Linked DNA regions of Arabidopsis thaliana. The protein of the gene in region 2 interacts with the protein of the main gene of each other region in a pairwise test. Each region holds a gene or a part of one and is shown on either strand. Other genes may lie near its edges. The genes, in order: NP3, TES and FU.

Region 1 (6,256 bases), about 13 Mb from region 2:
GTACACAAATCGAAAAATTCACATGTCCTTCTCTTTTCTTTTTATTTCGGGATTTATAAGTGTATCTACATATGGTCAATACTTCAATCAAAAACGGTCCAAACACTGATAAAAGAGGAAAGCACAAAATCTAAATGTTGATTATTAATAGATTTGGAAGAGAAAATCAAGAAATCTTTAAGCATGAAGATCTTCATGTTTCTCTTCTCTCTTTTTTAAAAAAAAAATTTGCTCAGCTTTTTTTTCTTGACAGCCCATCCTCCAACCAAAATTTTGAATTAAAAACTTTGGTCTAATTTCTTATTTTTATCTTTTTGGTGCATGAGTGATTAACTGACTGCTCATGTAAAAGGAAATAGGGTAAACTTTTTTTTATAAGACTAGTTTTTTTTATACTTAAAACAAAATAACCATACTCGAACAACACCACAATTCACAAACAAGTTTTTAGATGGTTGATACGACCTTATAAGTCAGATTTAAGATATGTATACATAATAATAATAATAATAATAATAATAATAATAATAATAATAATAATAATAATAATAATAATAATAATAAATAATAATACTATGAACCGTTGAAGAACTATCTACATATATCATACTAGTCATGAAATTACCCCACCAACAAAAAAAAATACGAAGAAGTAATTTTGAAACATAAGAAAGAAACATACAGTTTCTCTTTAGCCGTTCACTATCCTTTGTGGCCTGATAATGGAGTCTTCCCTCCTGCACCAGCGTGTCGCAGATTCTCTGCAAAGAGTTTTACTATTAGTAAACAAATGCTTGTACAAATTTTAAGTCATTTTCTTCAAATCTTTAGTCTTGAAGAAATAACACTTACCTCGATGCCTCTCAAGCTCTTCATAGAGTTCTTCTTCCCACTTCCGACGTATCTCTGAGAAACTGAGGAAGAAGGAAACATTAACACCAAAGAGAATAAAACCAGTTTCAGGCCTAACACCAGTAACTTAAGCACGAGCTAACTCACCAACGGCTATTATTTACTCCCTTCTTGGTCGACTCGTTGACTTGAGTTGGTTCAGTTCCTGACTGCATCACTCTGCTTGTGTTCAGTGTACGTTTGGAGCTTTTGAGTGGGCTGGGCATAGCATCACTGATTGCTGAGAGTCGTCTACTCGGAAGTCGTTTAGGTGTCTTGCTTATACTTGGTAAGTTTGGTAAATTGTAGATATTGGTGTCTCCAAGTGCACCTTGGGGTATTCCTGGATTCATAGCATTGTGGAATTCTTCAAGCAGAGGGGTCTGCAACCTTTTCAAATCCTGAGCCTTGACAACACATAAAACGACAAACGAGTAAGTGACTAAGACTCAGTATCATCACAAAACCTCATGTTGGTAGCCGAGATGCATTTAAAAATTCCAGGCAGACCAAGCAAAAAAGAGCCACAGTTGCAGGAGAGATGATTATGACTATTGGAGTATTGAAAATTGAAACACTATACCACACAAAACATGTAAACAAGAGTCCAACGTCGCAATGTGCATGTGTTCAACATTAACCAAGTTTAATACTGTTTAGTAGCTTTAAAGTTTCGAAATTTCATATTTAGCAGGTCTTTTAAGTTAGTAAATGAATCTGAGAAAACAGGAATCATGCATAATAGTAACTGAATTCTCACCCATATACTACAAAAAGGCCTTACCTTCTCATCCAAAAATGATTTTATTTTCAACTCTGTGCCTTTATAATCATCCTCTGCAACGGAAGAGCCACCAGCAAATGTTAAGCTGGTTTCCTCATCACATGGAACTCCAGTTTGGAGTTGAGAAGCTTGGTAAGAAAGCAGGTTAGATTTGCTTTTCATCACTTTTGGGCTTTCATCAAACTTGCAAGACCAGTTATCCGTGGAATCACACATGGGATTAAAACTCTGTTAAAGTCAAAAAGTTCCTTTCCACTGTCAGTATAAGTACTGTAATCAACGGACATGTTTTAAAATCTGGAGGATAGACTTATCACCTTGTTTAAATCGGTGGACTGTGACAAAACATTGTTTCTGACTGATTCAATGTTGCAGAGATCATCCATATCGGTCTGACAAAGGTCATCAGAGTCTCCATCTCGCCAACCAAATCCTGAGTTATTTGACTTCTGTGGGTATATAATGGAACTCCTCAAGCTTCCCAGTTCACAGACATCCTTCAAGCCTGAACATGTCGACCTCCTGATCAACGAATTTATTCTGGAACAACAGAGGAAGTAAAATAAGAATCAAGGGATCAAAATCATGGATAGTGAGAAGATTGAAACTAGAGCTGCAAGAAAAAAACTTACGAACTCCGAACATTCATTCCTTGAGTAGTTATTGGGTTTCCACATTCCTGATATATTAGAAAGGAGGTCAGAAGGTTGAAGAACCAGAAAAAAGTTTACTGCATAATGTACTAACCGTAAGAGAATTACGGTAAGCTGGATAAGGTTCCTGGCGCTTTCCAGTGACAAACGGGTGCTGCAAATGTTAAGAAGCTGTCAGCACTATGAGCAACAATAATAACTTAGTATTGTGCATTGAGAGTAAAGAACATTTTCACAATTGTGAAATGGAGAAGATATGTTATTCACAACACCTGAAGCAATTCGGTTGCAGAGAGTCTCAAGCTTGGTTCTCTGAAAAGATAATTTCTCTTATTAATAGAACAACAGATATAGATGCTCTCTTGAAATAGAATGGTGGACATTGATCTTTACAGGAGCTATCTAGATAAAGACAAAAACGAACTGGGGAAAAAACTTATGACTTACTTGTGTAAGCATTTCATTAGAAAGTCTTTAGCCTCTGGTGAGAGGTCTTCTGGAATTGGAGGATGAGCTTTTGTTCTACCAATATGAAGGACAGCAGCAAACTGAAAGAAAAACTTTTTAGGTCTTCTTAGGTTTCTAAAATAAAAGACAGCGTCATATGCATCAACAATACTGGAAAGTGTCCTTCACCCAGTGACTCTTTACCTGCTGATACTGCTCGCTCCAGGGAGGCTTCCCCGTAGCCATCTCAATCACAGTGCACCCAACACTCCATATATCAGCAGAGCTTCAGATTAAAGAAGAAGGTCAGAATGAAAGTTGCAATACACATGGAAAAATAGATGAGAACCCATTCCCACTACTCAGAGCATGTATAATCTATTATCTTACAAAAACTAAGGAGATGGGGAGAAGAAGATAACTGGTAGGGTATTCTTGAAATACTTACAAGCTATGACCAGTCTGGAGAATGACTTCAGGAGCCATCCAATAAGGCGTCCCCTTCATAGATTTGGCACCATTTACAGTAGCCTAGAAGCATAAAGTTCACAAAGTTTTAGAGTACTGAAGAGAGAGGCAACATATTGAAATATGATTAAAGAGAAAGAGAAGCGCAATCATACTAGCTCTACAACTTTCTTGGAAGCACCAAAATCTGCGAGTCTGATGCAACCTTTGTTATCGACCAAAATATTTGCCCCCTAGGAGAATATGACAAGAGTTATAGCGGAATTTTGAGAAACCACAAGCATATCACATGTTGGAAAGAGGAAAGTACCTTAATATCTCGATGCATGATCCCATTGTTGTGAAGATATTCCAGACCAAGCAGAAGTTGCTTTGTGTACATAATAATCACCTATTTAAAAAAGTTAAAGACACAACATTCATCGCCAGCGAAGCTCAAATACAAGATTTAGCAAAGTTCAGGTGTAGTCAGGACTTACAGGCTCAGGAAAAGATCCAAACTTCTCCAACAAAGATGATATTGATCCACCAGGAACAAACTCCATCAAAATATTCAACGAATCACTCTCTCTTACAGTACCCAAGTATCTCTGCAAAAACAAAGATAATAAGAAGAATGCATGTGGAACAGACATTAAACATATGAGAAATAGCTGAATGGATTCGCCAACTCACAACGATGTTCGGATGTGAAAGATTCTTAAGAAGTTGTACTTCTTCCTCAAGCTCTCGGATGTGACCCTAAAACAAGGATTCAAGACCAAAGGAAACCAAAGTTGTTACCAAATTGGTAACAGATTTATCGAAAATTGCAAAATTTAAAAGATAGAGCAATAACTCACCTGAGTCTTCTCCTTTGAAGCACTGCTTGGAGCGATTAAAACCTATTATCCAAAAAAAAAATCACAAATCAGCAGAAGAAATCATAAATTAAAGGCAACTGAAAGTAACCAGAACTAAGAAATTCAAAATTAACCTGTTTAATTGCAAGAAGCTCGCCGGAATCGAGGTTCATTCCCATGTAAACTCTTCCAAAAGCACCGCAACCGATTAATTCCCCTTTCCTCCACCGAATCGACGGCGCTTCTTCTTTTCTAGGAGCAGGAAGGCCTGGAGGCGGCTTAGAAAAGAGCCCAATTCGAGAGCTACGGATACTAGAGTTAATCTTCCCGACGAATCCGCTAAGACCTCCGCCGCTAGTACCATCGTCTCCGGCCAAAGACGACCGGAAAACCAAGGATCGGCGAACCGATCCGAGAATATCCTGCATTTGAGAAGCCGACGGTGAATGTGTAGAGAGATCAGTGAAGATTACTCATGGCTGCTTCGGCTTCGTGATGTGTGGATTTAGGAAATTTCGAGGAGGGAAAGAGAAACTCGATCTGTTTTTCAAAATTAAAAGCTTAGTTTTTGTGATTTTTCCGTTGAAACCCTTTCAATAATCCTAAATATTTTACCCGTTACTTAATGGGCCTTCTTATTGGGCTTTTTCAGTATTGGAGCGCATAAAGTACTTCCCACGTGTAAAATATCCAGATTTGTGTCGGTCGTTGCATAATCTTGTCTTTCTCCACCAAACTCACCGACAAAATACAGTATTTTAAGTACGTCCTATCATGACATCACATGCCATAAGCGTCAAGTTTCAGAAATTATAACAACTAATCTTTAACAAAATTTATTCTTGATAGTCTAAAGGAAAGAGTGTTTGATAACTCATCAAAACATTTGATATCTCAAAAGAGAAAGAAACAAAAGGAAGAGTACATGAAAATGACTAAATAACTAACGAGACCAATACCAAAGGTGAAGCCATTAGACTCTTGTTTTGTAGGAGTAGCTGTAGAATAGCTTCCTTCTGGTGTGTTGGTAGTGAGGACTACAACGATCCAATCATCTTCTTTACCAATACCAATCCCTGTAAACTTGGAATCGTTCAAACTCATTGAGTATTGTGACTTGGTGAAGTTTGTGAGGACGAGGTTTGATTCTAAACGAGGAACACATGCAGGCATAATCGAGCCGTCTCTCGTGTCTGAGACGTTCAAGTGGCATTTTGCTAGAATCTGAGGGTAGTTTGCGAACTGTGGCTCAGTTCCAGGTACTGTGGCTGAGCCAGTGTCGTTGGTACAAGGTTTGTTCTTGAATTGGTCTGCGATTTCGTCAGCTAGGCATTCTGCGTTTTCGTTCTTGCTTAAGATTGTTAGATTCTGTGTTGTTCTGTAGCTGTTGATTCCTGTGAGAAGAATGTCCTCTTCATCTGCAACTCAGAAGACGCTTGATTAAAGTCTATATCATTTGCAGAAGCATATTCACAATCTCTAGTTAAAGTAAATTTTTGTTCTTTATTTGTTATCAAGAGAAGGAAAGCAAATTATACACTTGAGAAAGTATTAACCTTTTCAAATAAGTTCAACTTTCTCATGATTGAGATCTATGGAAGAACTTTTAATTGAAGTGAACAGATCCTAACTCCTAAGAGATTTCAGACCAGATCTAAAGATCCTGAATAAACACTATAAAGAGAGACAGAAAGAGTTTCAAGAACAGAGATTTACTTCAACAAGAAAACAATGGAAGAAAGAGAGGAAGTTACCGGTGTCGCTAAGAACAGGGCGATTGAGGCAGAGGAGTATGGAGAGAAAGAGAAGAAGTGGAAGCTTGTCGATCGCCATTGAAGCAGGTTTCTAGAGTTCTCAAATGATATTTTGATGGTGATTGGCTTATATTAATTGAGAAAGGAGAGTGAGAGAAATGGTTACTTCGCTTTTACTCATAAAGAGTTGTTTGATTCTGTTCTGCTTTTCTTGTCAGCTCGATTTTGACGTTGTGCCGACAATTTAAGGCATTTTTAACTAATTCGCTTGGTCCCTCTCATCCTATACGGCATCGTTTCTAATATAAGGATAGAGGACAAGAACAAGTTCCAAAGAGAAGGCAAACAATTGACCAAAGTTCTTGAAAACTCAATGTCAAGTAATCGATTTGTTATTACAAAACATCTACCTTAAGT
Region 2 (7,783 bases):
TAAAGCTTAGTATCCATTCGGTTATTTTGAAAGTTTAGTTCGGTTCTAGTTTTTTTGGTTTTAAAATTTTGTATCCATTCGGTTGTTTAGATTGAATATTTTTGGATATTTTGGTTATTTTTGAATATTTTCGGTCATTTTGGATATTTTTCGGTCATTTTTGGATATTTTTGGATATTTCGGTTATTTTCGAGTATTTTTACTATTATATATATATTTTTAATTATTTAGTCTAGAAATAACTAATATTTTAAAAATATATTTATATTTCGGAAAGTTTCGTTTACCCGAAATATTTCGCTACGTATCTATTTGGTTTCAGTTCTTTCGATTATAAAATTCAGTATCCATTCGGTTATTTCCAACTTTCGGTACGATTCGGTTTAGTTATTTTTGTTTTGGTTTCGATTCTGTACAGTCGGTTCAGTTTATTCGCCCAGACCTACCCGTTATATCGAGTAATATAGAAACATTTACCAATTTAAAGAATCAACAGAGATTAGATGATCATATGGTTAGGATTTTAAAAAGAGGGTTTTCACAGGTCGTGTGAATCACACTCTCTATTCAGCATCAAAAGAGTTTTGAAGTTAACGATTTACAAACAGAGAAAAGTAGACGTGTAGGATTTATAGGAGGGTACAACAGCTAGAGATGCAACAAGTTGGATATGAAGTTCCAACCCATCATCCAAGTCTTCTTATCTGAAGGAGATGCAAAGTTGAGCTCAAACATTTCTTTCCTTATGGTCTCTCCCGAGTCACAGAATCCGACAAGCTTAGCCACGATCTCCGCACTCTCTCTCACGTGTTGCATGTTGTGAGGATCTGTCCAGAGTTTGTTGATGAACTGTTGTCTCCTCTGTTTTCCCACCGGCGGGACATCCCATTTCAGGTATAGCATCTCTCTTTCCTCTGCTCCTAGCTTTGTGTTTACCCGTTTCGCCAAATACTCTCTCTCCTGCTTCAAAGCTCTTATACTGCAGCACACCAAAGACATATATATGCTAGTGAAAAATGGTTTTAACTCATAGAATTGAAGAAAAGGAAAGCTCTTGTACTACCTCGATGCTACGTAGCTTGCTGGTTCATCACCAAGCAATGCAGGACTCGCATTCCCAAGCTCAGCCAAGTGCTGTTCGAGCCATGTCAGCCTGCGGAGCTCAACCTCCATGTAGATTTGATCAGCTGGGTCTCCTTTGAATAACATGTAGAATTGTGTTCTGTGAATGATTGAAATGTGGCACAGATGCCATAACATTATGATTTGCTTTCTCTGCTCTTCAAAACACAATGGCCAATCCATCTGAGATTCATCGGTTGCATCGTACTCCGAAGCAGCGCCTGTCTCGTTTGCCTCCAGTTCTAACACCTAACATGTACAAGCTTTTTAAGTTACTGATTACTGATGAACAAATTTGTAAATGAATGAGCATAAGTCACAAGTGTAAACTGACCTGGCAAACAAGCAGCTGCTTCTGGTATTGAAGCTTCGCCACACGTTCTTTCAATCCAGTAACATAAGATTTGATATTACGTATATTCTCTTCGGCAGCATTCTTATACATTCGATTCATTCTCTTAATATCGACTGAATTTGCTTGTCGTGATACAGGCGTTCCTTCCCTTGACTGTGTACGACATCGGTTATCATCCCTCTTTGGTGGAGTAGCTCCAAAAGACACTGGGGCTGAATTAGCAGACACAACATTGCTCTCAGGATCCTTATTTTCAGTCCCAGAAAGAGGTGAACATGGTCCCCGGATCATATGCTGTAGGTTAGGACTATTACTTAAGCCGAAGGGAAGAAGTCTCTTCTTTTTCACCTGGGTCCTGAAATCTGGAGTCTGTTCATCTGTCTGAAAAGACGAGACAAGCATGTCAATAGTGTTCTGAACACACTCTAGCTTCTTCTCCAAAGCTGCAATTTCTTGAGAATTCAACCGATTTATTTCTTCCTTCAGGTTGGCTTTATCACCAACTACAATTTCCTCAGTTAAAAGGTTGCTCTTCTGCATGTCCCTGATTTCTGACAGCATTTTCGCAACTTTTTCTGCAGCTTGTTGATCACCCAGTTTATGGGATGTCACTTCTTTGTGAATTAGATCCAGTGCTTGGTTTGCTTCTTCACCCAACTTCTTTTGATGTTTTTCAAGCAAACGAATTTCTTGGACTAGCGCTGTTGGATCCGCCGAAGTTAAAGACTGCCTCACATTATCCTTTCTCCTATCACGAGCTGTTCTGCGGCTTGACGGAACAGATTTGCTTGGAATGGATTCCTCCTTTGTATGGTATGAGAGACACCTTGCCACTTGAGAAAAAGGTTCACACTCACTTGATCCCTGCAACCAATTATATAGGCATGTCTGCATAAGGTTGAAGTTATCCCAGAAAATTTTGGTATATCATATTAGCAGCGCACATACCTTCCGCTCCTTTGCTTTTCTTTCTAGATCAAGTTCAGACTGTGCAATGTCTCTCTGACGCTTTAGCTCTTTCATTTCGGATTCCATCTGCCATTAGTTAAACATGAATGAATAATTGCAAGTGATAAAAAATTCAAGTTGTTTTTGTTAATAAACTTAAGTTCACGTCCCATATGGTTTACCTAGTCTGTGGACTCCACATTTAAAATATTCAGAAGAGATAATTCAAGATGTGAATTCTAGTTCTTAAAGTCTAAGTCATACCTGTTGGATTTTCATCTCTTTCTCAATTAACAGAGACTTTAAGCAGGTGGATGAACTGGGCTCCGGGCTTCTTAACTCTGACTCGAGTTTAGCTACTTTTTGCTGCAGATGTTTCAGCAGCTTTTTTTCTGAGACAACCTACGACAGAAAATCAACTAAATTCACATCCCTAAATTGAATACCAGCAGAGGGGTAAACTTTCTATCAAGAACAAGCAAAACCGTTTTGTGATTCATCAAACACAAAGAAGATTGAAGCAAAAGGAGTAATGTTAGTGGGAGAGCGACAAAAGAAGGCTTTGAAAATATATCTCACTACATCATTACAGGTAACGCGATGCATTTTGTATTCTTAATTCATGGCAAGAGCAGAATAGACATGCAGGCAGATAATTGCATATGATATGCTCACTATAGGATGATGATTGCTACTCAGAAACAAAACCACATTTGCAATGAAAGGCCAAAGAAAAGCTTTAGTAAGCCAAAGACAAAGCTCTATACAATCATCCTGGTTCTGCAAAACGAAAGACCTCTACAAATATTTAACTAAGTGACATACCATGTTTACTTTAGCGCAATTGGTGACTTCCTTCGCACTCATGGCAAAAGAAAGTGTCTTTTTTGTCTGTTCAACATGACTCAGTGCCGGACTAATCGTACATATAATTGCTGTTCTAGCATTCCCGCCAAGTGAATTTTGCAAAATTCTTGTCAGCTTTGAGTCTCTATACGGCACGTGATCCCTTTTTCTTCCAGAACTTCAACCAAAATAACAGAAATAATTAAAAACTTTAATGTTTTGCTAATTTCTTAAGATGCCCTACAGGTGAAAATGTTCATCAATCTAAAAGGTAATTTAGACATGCCAAAGACAATCATGGTGTTCAAACTAGTGTGCTTTCTGACCTCAGTTTTCTGATCACTGTAGTAAGTGTCAATAAACTACGGTTAATGTGGCTTCCTTCCTTCAATCTTAGACCATCTGCGTTTGTTTGAAAAGCACGTTCGCTTCCAGCAAGATCAACAAGATTCTGCACCAATTAAAATGTCGTCAATACCAAGTGAAGCTTCAACCCAATGATAATAAATGACGTACCAGAGTTGCCATGAAAGACTGCACACAGCCTGCTATTTCCCTGAGACTGCTATGGATGGTCTGAATATTAAAAGCAGAGAACATGAGAAATTATGGGAAGTGGTTACTTTTACTGTCTAATGGTAGCAAATAACTAGGCAAAACTATCTTCTCCATGTTTAATAGAATATTAATTCAATCATGCAGCATATCAGATAAGTATAGATCATACCAGCCGAATAATCTGATGCGATCTTGAACTTTTGTCGTTTAAAGCAGTTTCACCTACTTGCCTTTGATCTGTAACAATAAATGGAAAATCACATAACAGGAAATAAAATGATGATATCATATGTCTCATTAGTGATTAGTGAAATAATTAGTCATATTTTATATATGTCATCTACATGGTTCTAAGGCTTTGCTAAACATTACTTAGAATACTATCACCATCAAATGCATAAAAAGATATAGAGCATCTTAACAGGTGATAGAAGAATTACCTTCACAAATGCTAATTAAATGCTGTAAATGTTGCCTGCTTTCTACCACTTCCTCCACCAGATTTTCCACAATGGTTCCTTTCTGCAATATACACAGCATTCTTATACTGGCCGAGATAGTTCATGAGCCTTGACTTAGTGTTTCCGACCCTTTACTTACCTCTGGATCATCTAACAGTCTAAGGGGCCCAGTATCACGATTTAAAAGGTCAACCACGGTCTCGTTATAAATCTCCAAAGCAGATACTTTCAAGACAAAGCTCCTTTCTTGAGTCTACATAGATTTCAACAGATCCATGAGAATAGAAAAAGAACATATCACTTCGTAACAAAACCAAAACCAAAACACATCCATTTGATCACTCACTTTTCTTATATGTTCGTATATATCTTTAACAACACTTTCAGTAACCCCCCTCATTGTAAACGTCTTGCCACTACTAGTCTGACCATAAGCAAAAATAGTTGCTGCAATAGATAGAGACAAGAAATCACATATCCACAAATAACATATCCTTAGATAATGGGATTTTTTAGATTTCTGTGTAGTTACCATTTGTTCCTGCTAATGCAGATAGTGCAACGTCCCTAGAACCACCTTCATACACCTCTTGAGTTGCACAAGTTGGCTCAAAAACTTTATCTATAAGTACAAAGAAGAAAAAACTTAAATGAGCTATATAACAAAAATGGAAAGAAGAGAAGACAAAATAAGCAATCGACTAGATTCTAATAAAAAATACCAAATGAATATTTTGTTGGAGCCTTGTCAGGATTCGGATTCTTAAAGACGATAGTCTCATCATCGGGACATTCCCAAGCAATGAGATCATATTTGGCATGTTCCCTCCAATTTAATGGTCTCATCCGAACAGTGACAAGAATCTTCTCCTCTGTAACTTTGGAACCACATGGAGTATAAGGATTGGACTTATCTATCTTACTTAACGGAGTTCTCGGAGGTCCCATCATCTTCTACACACAAAATCGAAACCAATTTTAGAAACTTATAAGACCTAAACGCTACAAATCTACTCTACATCTGTAGATCAAACACAATTTCTTCTAAATCTAATCACCTAATCGAAGATTTTCTTTGAGAATCAGTAATCGTAACTGTTAGATTGTTCAGAAATCCATCTATGGAAACTAGAACAACCAATACATGAGAATCCAACATAATAGTCACCTGAAATCAAATCCAGAATAGGAAACAAGAGAGAAATTAAAAGATCGCTTACAGAGAAGAAGGGACTTAACAGAGGGAACACGTCGGAGAAAGAAAACGCGGCGGTGGTGGTCGACGACGGACGGATGATTCGCCGGAGAAAATCAAATCGATGAGAAGATGGTGGAGATGATTAGGGATTTGTTTTCGCAGAGGCAAAATCGAAAGCAGAGAATGTGTAACGGAAACTATTTTCTTGCTACTTTCTTCTTCTTCGTCTTCTTCTTCTTTTTACTTTGTTTTTTTCAATTCCCGTTCTCTGCGCAGACCTGAAATTTTTTGAACTTTGAACGGTCAAAGATCAAGGGTTCTTAACGAGCCACGTGTAAGATTGGGATTCTACATCGAACACAGCACTAACCTATACGACGTATCTTAACGTTCTAAGAAAAGTGCATCAATGTGTACGTTAATGCCAACCAAAACGGGTTTATTGGTACGTTATGGTTTACAAGCAGAATTTCTCAATCCGAGAGAGCAAAAAACGACTGTGTTGATAAATTGGGTCAAATGAAGAAAAGAGAAACATGGGCCAGCTAAAGATTAAGCCCAATACTAAAGCGACGTCGTCTGAGGCACAACGGTCATATGCAAACGACTAGAAACAACAAACACAGGAAGCACGAGAGGTGATGAAAAAGCTTGTACGGAGAGAAAGTTAGCGATTTTTTGCAGCCCGACACAGGATGATGATATCTGTCCTATCTCTAGGGTTTTTCGAGTTACCCCATTCTCTCTCACGTCTCGTGTATAAATACTAAATGTTCTGTTTCCTTTAGCTTCCTTCCTTTGCTTTGTTGTTACTAATTCTGCTCGTTATATTGTAAGTGTGATTAGTGTTAAATTTTTAGCGTATTTTTTCTTTCTAAGTTGGGATTTGTTTAGCTTGTTGCGTTGCCTTTTTCAGTGTGATTAATTAGTGAACAATGAGGTTAGCTAGCTTTTAGTTAGGGTTTAATCCTCCTTTTAGCTTTCACATTCTTTCTTCGATTTAGCCACAAAAACTCATCCACATACACGTACATAACTGGTCCTGAGCACAATAAAGTGAAACATGTTAGAAAACATGGATGATTATCCATCTTTAAAGTAGATCATATGACCTTATCTTATCCTTATATATAAGTCTTACTCACCAAGTTACTTTATCTTTAAGACACTTACTCCCCAAGTTTTCTCCTCCTATATATATATCTACGTTGTTTCATTGTGAAATCATATAGTATAGATCAACAATTTTACTATAATATGAATATTTATATACCTATTATTCAAGTATTTCACTATCATGAACACATACAACAACATTATATGATATATTAATATGTAGTTATATTACTAATGTATTTTGAAATTTGTTTAACTTAATTGTAACAAACAATTCTTTTTTTCATATATTCTTTCGTCATCTAGTACACCAACCTATCATGATATGCTAGTAATTTAAGTTAACACTTTAATTATCTTCCCTTGCATATAGCCATATAGAGTCTCGTATTTTTGTGTGGATATGTCTAATGTCTCGGATGACCATTACGTGAAAAAATTGTATATCAATGTTATCAAGTTATCAGACCGCACAAAAATAAACAGAAAGAAGGTCATATGATAAATCATATTCACATAACGTAATAATAAGAAAATATCCAACTAAAATTATTAAATTAATATGAGGTTAGATAGCAATTATCTAAAATACAATACACGTAAATTTTTAGCCATTATGGATTAATAACTATTGATAAAAAAATATAAAAATAAGTAAAATAGAATAAAAGTAGTATTTGATACATTATTATGATTTTTTTATTTATTGAATGTTTTTAGAAAATTAATTTTAAGAGTGAGATTAATAGAGAATTTAACACAACAAAAGACTTTTAATTTTTCCTCAATTAGTTTTACTAATTTTTTTATTTAATTAATGTAGAATGACACATGTCATTTTCTTGTGTGATGATGTGTCACTTATATGTAGAGAGTTTTCCAACTTTCATATATATGGGAATAAAAGTTGAAGTGTAAGTTCTACATATGAGTTACTATTTCTTTTTGGTCCTGTCTGAAAATGACTTAGTTCTACTACCGGAGGTTTCCAAGAGCAGTTGTGAATGGTAAATACTGTCCCTATGCTTACTTTGGTTAGACCAAAATTTCGTTTTTAGATTAACCGAAAATGCCTCACTAACACTCTAGATGATCACACGCGCTATGCCGCAGTTTTTTTTGTTTTTTTTGTATTGTTTAATTTAAATAATTTTTATTTATCTAATCATTCACTCATGC
Region 3 (4,684 bases), on a different chromosome or scaffold from region 2:
TTGATTCTCAAAGTCCCACTACCTGAACTTTTTATCTCCTCTTGGGTTGGGAATCCCACAAAATCCTCAGTGGGTGGAGAATTTACTTTGACAGCACTCTTCATATCTGACTGAACGTCAGCTAGACCTTTTGTAGCAGACATGTCCTCAACCAGGGTCACTGAGTCGCACTTTTCTGTGACATTTAACACTATAAATTTAATAAAGGAGAAAATTAATTAAGAAATAGATTCTAACCACACACTGAAGAGATTCAAACCATTTCTCTGTTGCCCTCCATTTCCTTTGAGCATCCAAGCTGCCTTATTGTCAACTACTGCAGTATGGATTTCCTGAATAGGCGTTCAAAATGTTCTTAGTGATCTATTATTCCAACAACATGTTTTAATTTGAGATCCGTTACATTGCATGAAAAAGACAGTTTTAACAAAATGCTCTGTACATTGGACTCAAGCTGCAAAGTATAAGTCATCAATATCAGACCATTACCCTGGCTTCAACTTCTTCTTGTGTTTCTTTAACGAAAGGGTGCTCACGAAGAGCAGGCCAGGTTAATCGACTGTGGGGTTCCTGTTTCGCATAGTAATAGAAAAACAGTTTAACCCAGTCCAGCAATGGTCTCAAACATATCAATAAATGGTAAAAAGGACAACTTAAAGAAAAAATAAATATATCACCTTGTTGAGCAATCCTTTCAAAAAGCTTTCGAAATAAGTACTCATTTCATCAGGATATTTGACAGGATCCTTGAAGATTCACTAAAACGTTAGCTCATACTTTAAGCATAGACTATGGAAAAATAAAAAAATATTGATATACCTTAACAATGTGACGAATGAGAGCATACACAGAATTGGTGTAGAAGGGAGGCTGACCTACATATAACTCGTACCTGATGTATTACAAGAGATTAATTAGAACCATATCAAGTGCATTGAAATGTGGATAACATAAAGAATACAGAAAACAAAAAACTATGAAAGAAAAGCCATCAGAATCATCACATTTATAGATGTAATAGCTTTCATAACAATAACAATTGAAGTACGACAACTCAGATGAGTTTCTCCACCTACAATATAACACCAAGAGACCACAGGTCGACAGTGCGATCGTATGGCTGTTCTTTCACAAGCTCTGGTGCCATGTACAGCGGAGTGCCTGATGTGATATTTTGGATTAATAACAAGGAGAGACTTATTGATTTATTCACTCATTAATACGTCTAAGGAAATTAAAGATCTTTAACCTTTAATGGATCGCAAAACCACAGTGTTGGTGGACATAGCTCGAGCAAAACCAAAATCACATAGCTGAAAAATCAAAGGGGAGACAAGTTAGTTGATGGCAAAGAGAAGTTAAAGAAATCATATAATCAAGCCGCATTGAAAATACTTATGTTTCTACTTATATTTAGCTAAGTGTATGAGATTCCTGGCTAGCCGTATCCTCTTCTAGTACTCACATGATTAACTTAGTTTTCTGAAATAATCATAGACGGAAAGATCCATGGTTCATAAATCAATTTTCAAGAAGTTAGCACGTAATCTGGTACTCATAAGAAGAGGAAAAAAGTAGAAGAATCGTATTGTAACGATAATTCTCTCCTAAATTTTATCTTTAAGAAACAAGAATATGAACAACTCATGTGTGTGGGAAGCATAGAAACAGCATTTCAAACTTAATTACTGGAAGCAGCAAAAGGAATGTTATATTACCTTAACGACAGAGCCAGCACCAATAAGAATGTTTTGTGGCTTCATGTCACGGTGAATTATACGGTTGGAATGCAAGTAATCTAATGCTTTTACCTGGATTTTAAAGAAGTTTCAAAATTGTCTTAATAATCAGATATAGAAATAAGAGCCATGTTGGCAAAACGTGTTACCAATTGCTTTGCGATTGCTTGAACTTGCTCTTCGGGAAGGCACTTGTCATCTTCAAGAATCTCAAACAATTCACCCTGTAAAATTGGGTGTTCCATGGTGATTCTTTATTTCATATAAGTCTAGCTATATGCTTCATAAATCAGTACTTTAGATTCTACAATCTACAGTGAGAAAAGTACTTGGGCAAACTCAGTGACGACACAGAACTCTCGTGCGTTTTCAAAGGAGTCGAGCATTTCAATGATATTCTCATGCTTGAGCTTCCGCAATATCTGAGGCATAAAAGAAATAATGTTGGTCAAATACCATAAAATTGATTGGGATTAAAGTTGATGGTAAGTGCAATTAAGGACTGAAACTTGCTAACCTCGATTTCTTGCCTTAGACTATGTATATCCTTGTCAGTCTTTCCTTGTTTCATGATGAACTTCATCGCCACCGTCTGATAAAAATTACCAAATTAAGAATTGATTAGCTGATTTTAAGTAGCCGATGATAACAAAGAGAACAACCCAGCAACAATTTACCTGGCCGGTATACTTGCGTCTTCCTTTGTAAACCCTCCCAAAAGATCCTTCACCGACAAGCTCTATCACATGATAATCCTCGACACCCATATCTGAACACGATTGGCTTTTTTTATCTGTCAAATAAAGCACCGTTTTAGCTTCAAACGGTAAAATGACGGTACCCAGACCCAAATAAGCAGAATTGAGGGAGAGTCTACTATATTCAGTCTAATTCGATTAAAAGCTAGTTTCTAAACTAGGGTTCCGTTCCGATTTCTTGTTTAGCATAAGCAAAAAGTAGCGAATCGAAAAACTGGAAACATCCAAATTAAGCTTGAAATGCAGATCCTAAACCTGATTGGCGAGTAAACGGGGAAATCGAAGATTTGAGATAGTAAAGAAGAATATTGAACCGTGGCTCACGAAAATGCGTAAAATAGGCGAAGTGGTGGCTGCCGGAGATGGTAGAACTGGGAAGTCGGCGACGAGAAACAGCGGAGGAGGTCTTCGGCGGTGAAACTAGGAGAGATCCGTTGGATCGATGGTTGAAGAGAGAGATAAACTCTGCGTTTGGATATTCTCGGAAACTTTTGAAATTCAAAAAGAGGGAAAAATCTTTGAGTCAGAGTAGTGTGTACTCTCTCTCTCTCTCTCTCAAACCTTATAAAAAAGTAAAAACAAACCACAAGTCGTAATTTCCGGTTTATTTTAAAAACAAAAGAACTCAAAAATATAAATTATTTATCATTTTCCAAATTGGTTCCTAAAATATTATTTTGATTATAAATAAAATATTGTTTCCACTGTTCCACATAAATCACCGATTATTATTCATAACATTAAAAAAAAACTTATAACTAATATTATAATAATTAACGTCAATTTCAAATTATGAAACAAACTATATATTTTCTAATCGTTTCAAAGTGACACCTAGCAATATCTATACAAACGTTTTAAGAAATGATACTAACAAAAAGAAATGATGTTAAGTGGGTGATTGGTTCGTCGGTATGTAGTTATAGATTTATTACTATAAAATTTTTGATGTAGGTGTGATGACTGTAGTCGTAGGGTTTATTGTTGTAAAAATTAGGATGTATATTTTATTGATATAATATAATTATTTAAATAAATTAGTTGTAGAAATAAGATTTTGATAGTATGTATTTTAAATAAAAAAATATTATTGGTAAATTATACTTTATATAATATTATTCCCAATTATCAATGTGAGTTATATATGTCATAAAGTAGGTATTTACCTACTATTTATATCCATATAACTAAATTTAATATATATATATATATAAAATATAGTAATATTTTTAAAGAAAATAAAAAAATAAAGTGAAAAAAAAAATAAAAAAAATATAGACCTTCTAAAAATCTTAAAGTTATGCTGTAGAAAAACTTGCACTTACAGCCAAAATAATTAAAATATATATATAAATATATAGTATTTGGGGTGTGAGAAAAAAATAGGAAAGTTAAAACATGATTGTTTCAATATTGATTGTAGGTTTTTTAGTGGCTTTATAAATCTTTTACATCCCAACCAATCATGTTCTAAGATTGAATTATAGTGTCATTTGAAAAAATGATACTAAATATTTTTTACCTTCACTAGTTTTAGTATCTCTTTTTAAAATGACTCTATAATTCGAGCATCATTTTAAAAATGATATTAAGATTTTTTTTTAAACTGATGTTAAACTCATCAATTTTGTAGTGATATCATTAAGAAATCTTAAGCAAAAGGAAATGGTTTCAAATTCACAATAAAATAAGCAAATTTATATATCTTTAAAAGATGACGAAACGTTAACGTCCATCAACCGAACAGTTAATTTATGTTTGCTACTATTCGTTTATTTAATTTAATTTAAATTTTAATTAAATTTATTATTTATTTCTTATTTACGATTAATTAAAAATGACTAATATGATAATAATTTATGGATACGGTAGTTTATACATTTACCCGTGCATGATATATATCAAACGATTGTAAAACTTCCCAACCGCCAAAATCATACTTGCTTGCACACGAAAGCATATTGCAGACGTCTTCTCTGCTATATGCGTCCGCGTTTGCTTTAGGCTTGAAGAAGAAATGCAAAGCACGTGCATGTAAACCCCCACCTCCAAGTAAAATTTTTAATTTGTTTCGGTTACTGTTTCTCTCAAAGATGTAACACCTAAATTGATTCAACAAGGGTTTTAATAGGTTTGATCCGATGTTTAATGTTTTTAAAGTCTCTGTTCGAGATTCTTCTTTTGGTG

What was found.
Region 1: the proteins of TES (region 2) and NP3 interact in a two-hybrid assay, tested with the Arabidopsis thaliana proteins (one study listed by BioGRID).
Region 3: the proteins of TES (region 2) and FU interact in a two-hybrid assay, tested with the Arabidopsis thaliana proteins (one study listed by BioGRID).

The regions. Positions count from the first base shown.
Region 1 is NC_003074.8:1,818,193-1,824,448, forward strand, and holds NP3 (NPK1-related protein kinase 3), read right to left. Parts: upstream 4,667-6,256; 5' UTR 4,514-4,666; coding exon 4,220-4,513; intron 4,128-4,219; coding exon 4,086-4,127; intron 3,985-4,085; coding exon 3,919-3,984; intron 3,834-3,918; coding exon 3,723-3,833; intron 3,635-3,722; coding exon 3,554-3,634; intron 3,477-3,553; coding exon 3,399-3,476; intron 3,307-3,398; coding exon 3,224-3,306; intron 3,062-3,223; coding exon 2,980-3,061; intron 2,877-2,979; coding exon 2,776-2,876; intron 2,641-2,775; coding exon 2,601-2,640; intron 2,483-2,600; coding exon 2,423-2,482; intron 2,355-2,422; coding exon 2,308-2,354; intron 2,216-2,307; coding exon 1,993-2,215; intron 1,904-1,992; coding exon 1,676-1,903; intron 1,299-1,675; coding exon 1,000-1,298; intron 915-999; coding exon 853-914; intron 762-852; coding exon 703-761; 3' UTR 540-702; downstream 1-539. Other genes in the region: AT3G06035 (Glycoprotein membrane precursor GPI-anchored), read right to left, coding at 4,980-5,503, 5,840-5,918. UniProt on the Arabidopsis thaliana protein: Involved in cortical microtubules organization and stabilization by regulating the phosphorylation state of microtubule-associated proteins such as MAP65-1.
Region 2 is NC_003074.8:15,188,887-15,196,669, reverse strand, and holds TES (ATP binding microtubule motor family protein), read right to left. Parts: upstream 5,885-7,783; 5' UTR 5,859-5,884; intron 5,812-5,858; exon of another isoform or gene 5,767-5,811; 5' UTR 5,511-5,766; exon of another isoform or gene 5,419-5,510; 5' UTR 5,242-5,418; coding exon 5,013-5,241; intron 4,913-5,012; coding exon 4,823-4,912; intron 4,738-4,822; coding exon 4,637-4,737; intron 4,544-4,636; coding exon 4,430-4,543; intron 4,352-4,429; coding exon 4,270-4,351; intron 4,067-4,269; coding exon 3,999-4,066; intron 3,848-3,998; coding exon 3,788-3,847; intron 3,723-3,787; coding exon 3,598-3,722; intron 3,450-3,597; coding exon 3,251-3,449; intron 2,828-3,250; coding exon 2,690-2,827; intron 2,513-2,689; coding exon 2,426-2,512; intron 2,342-2,425; coding exon 1,457-2,341; intron 1,372-1,456; coding exon 1,064-1,371; intron 980-1,063; coding exon 649-979; 3' UTR 502-648; downstream 1-501. UniProt on the Arabidopsis thaliana protein: Probable plus end-directed motor protein that functions in the NACK-PQR (ANP3-MKK6-MPK4) MAP kinase signaling pathway, which is essential for somatic cell cytokinesis, especially for the cell-plate formation and its expansion.
Region 3 is NC_003070.9:18,604,885-18,609,568, reverse strand, and holds the start of FU (kinase family with ARM repeat domain-containing protein), read right to left. Parts: upstream 3,059-4,684; 5' UTR 2,753-3,058; intron 2,533-2,752; 5' UTR 2,507-2,532; coding exon 2,417-2,506; intron 2,332-2,416; coding exon 2,257-2,331; intron 2,162-2,256; coding exon 2,069-2,161; intron 1,964-2,068; coding exon 1,889-1,963; intron 1,812-1,888; coding exon 1,719-1,811; intron 1,314-1,718; coding exon 1,250-1,313; intron 1,162-1,249; coding exon 1,077-1,161; intron 893-1,076; coding exon 820-892; intron 747-819; coding exon 678-746; intron 571-677; coding exon 490-570; intron 333-489; coding exon 260-332; intron 176-259; coding exon 23-175; intron 1-22. UniProt on the Arabidopsis thaliana protein: Plays a role in conventional modes of cytokinesis in meristems and during male gametogenesis but also acts in nonconventional modes of cytokinesis (cellularization) during female gametogenesis.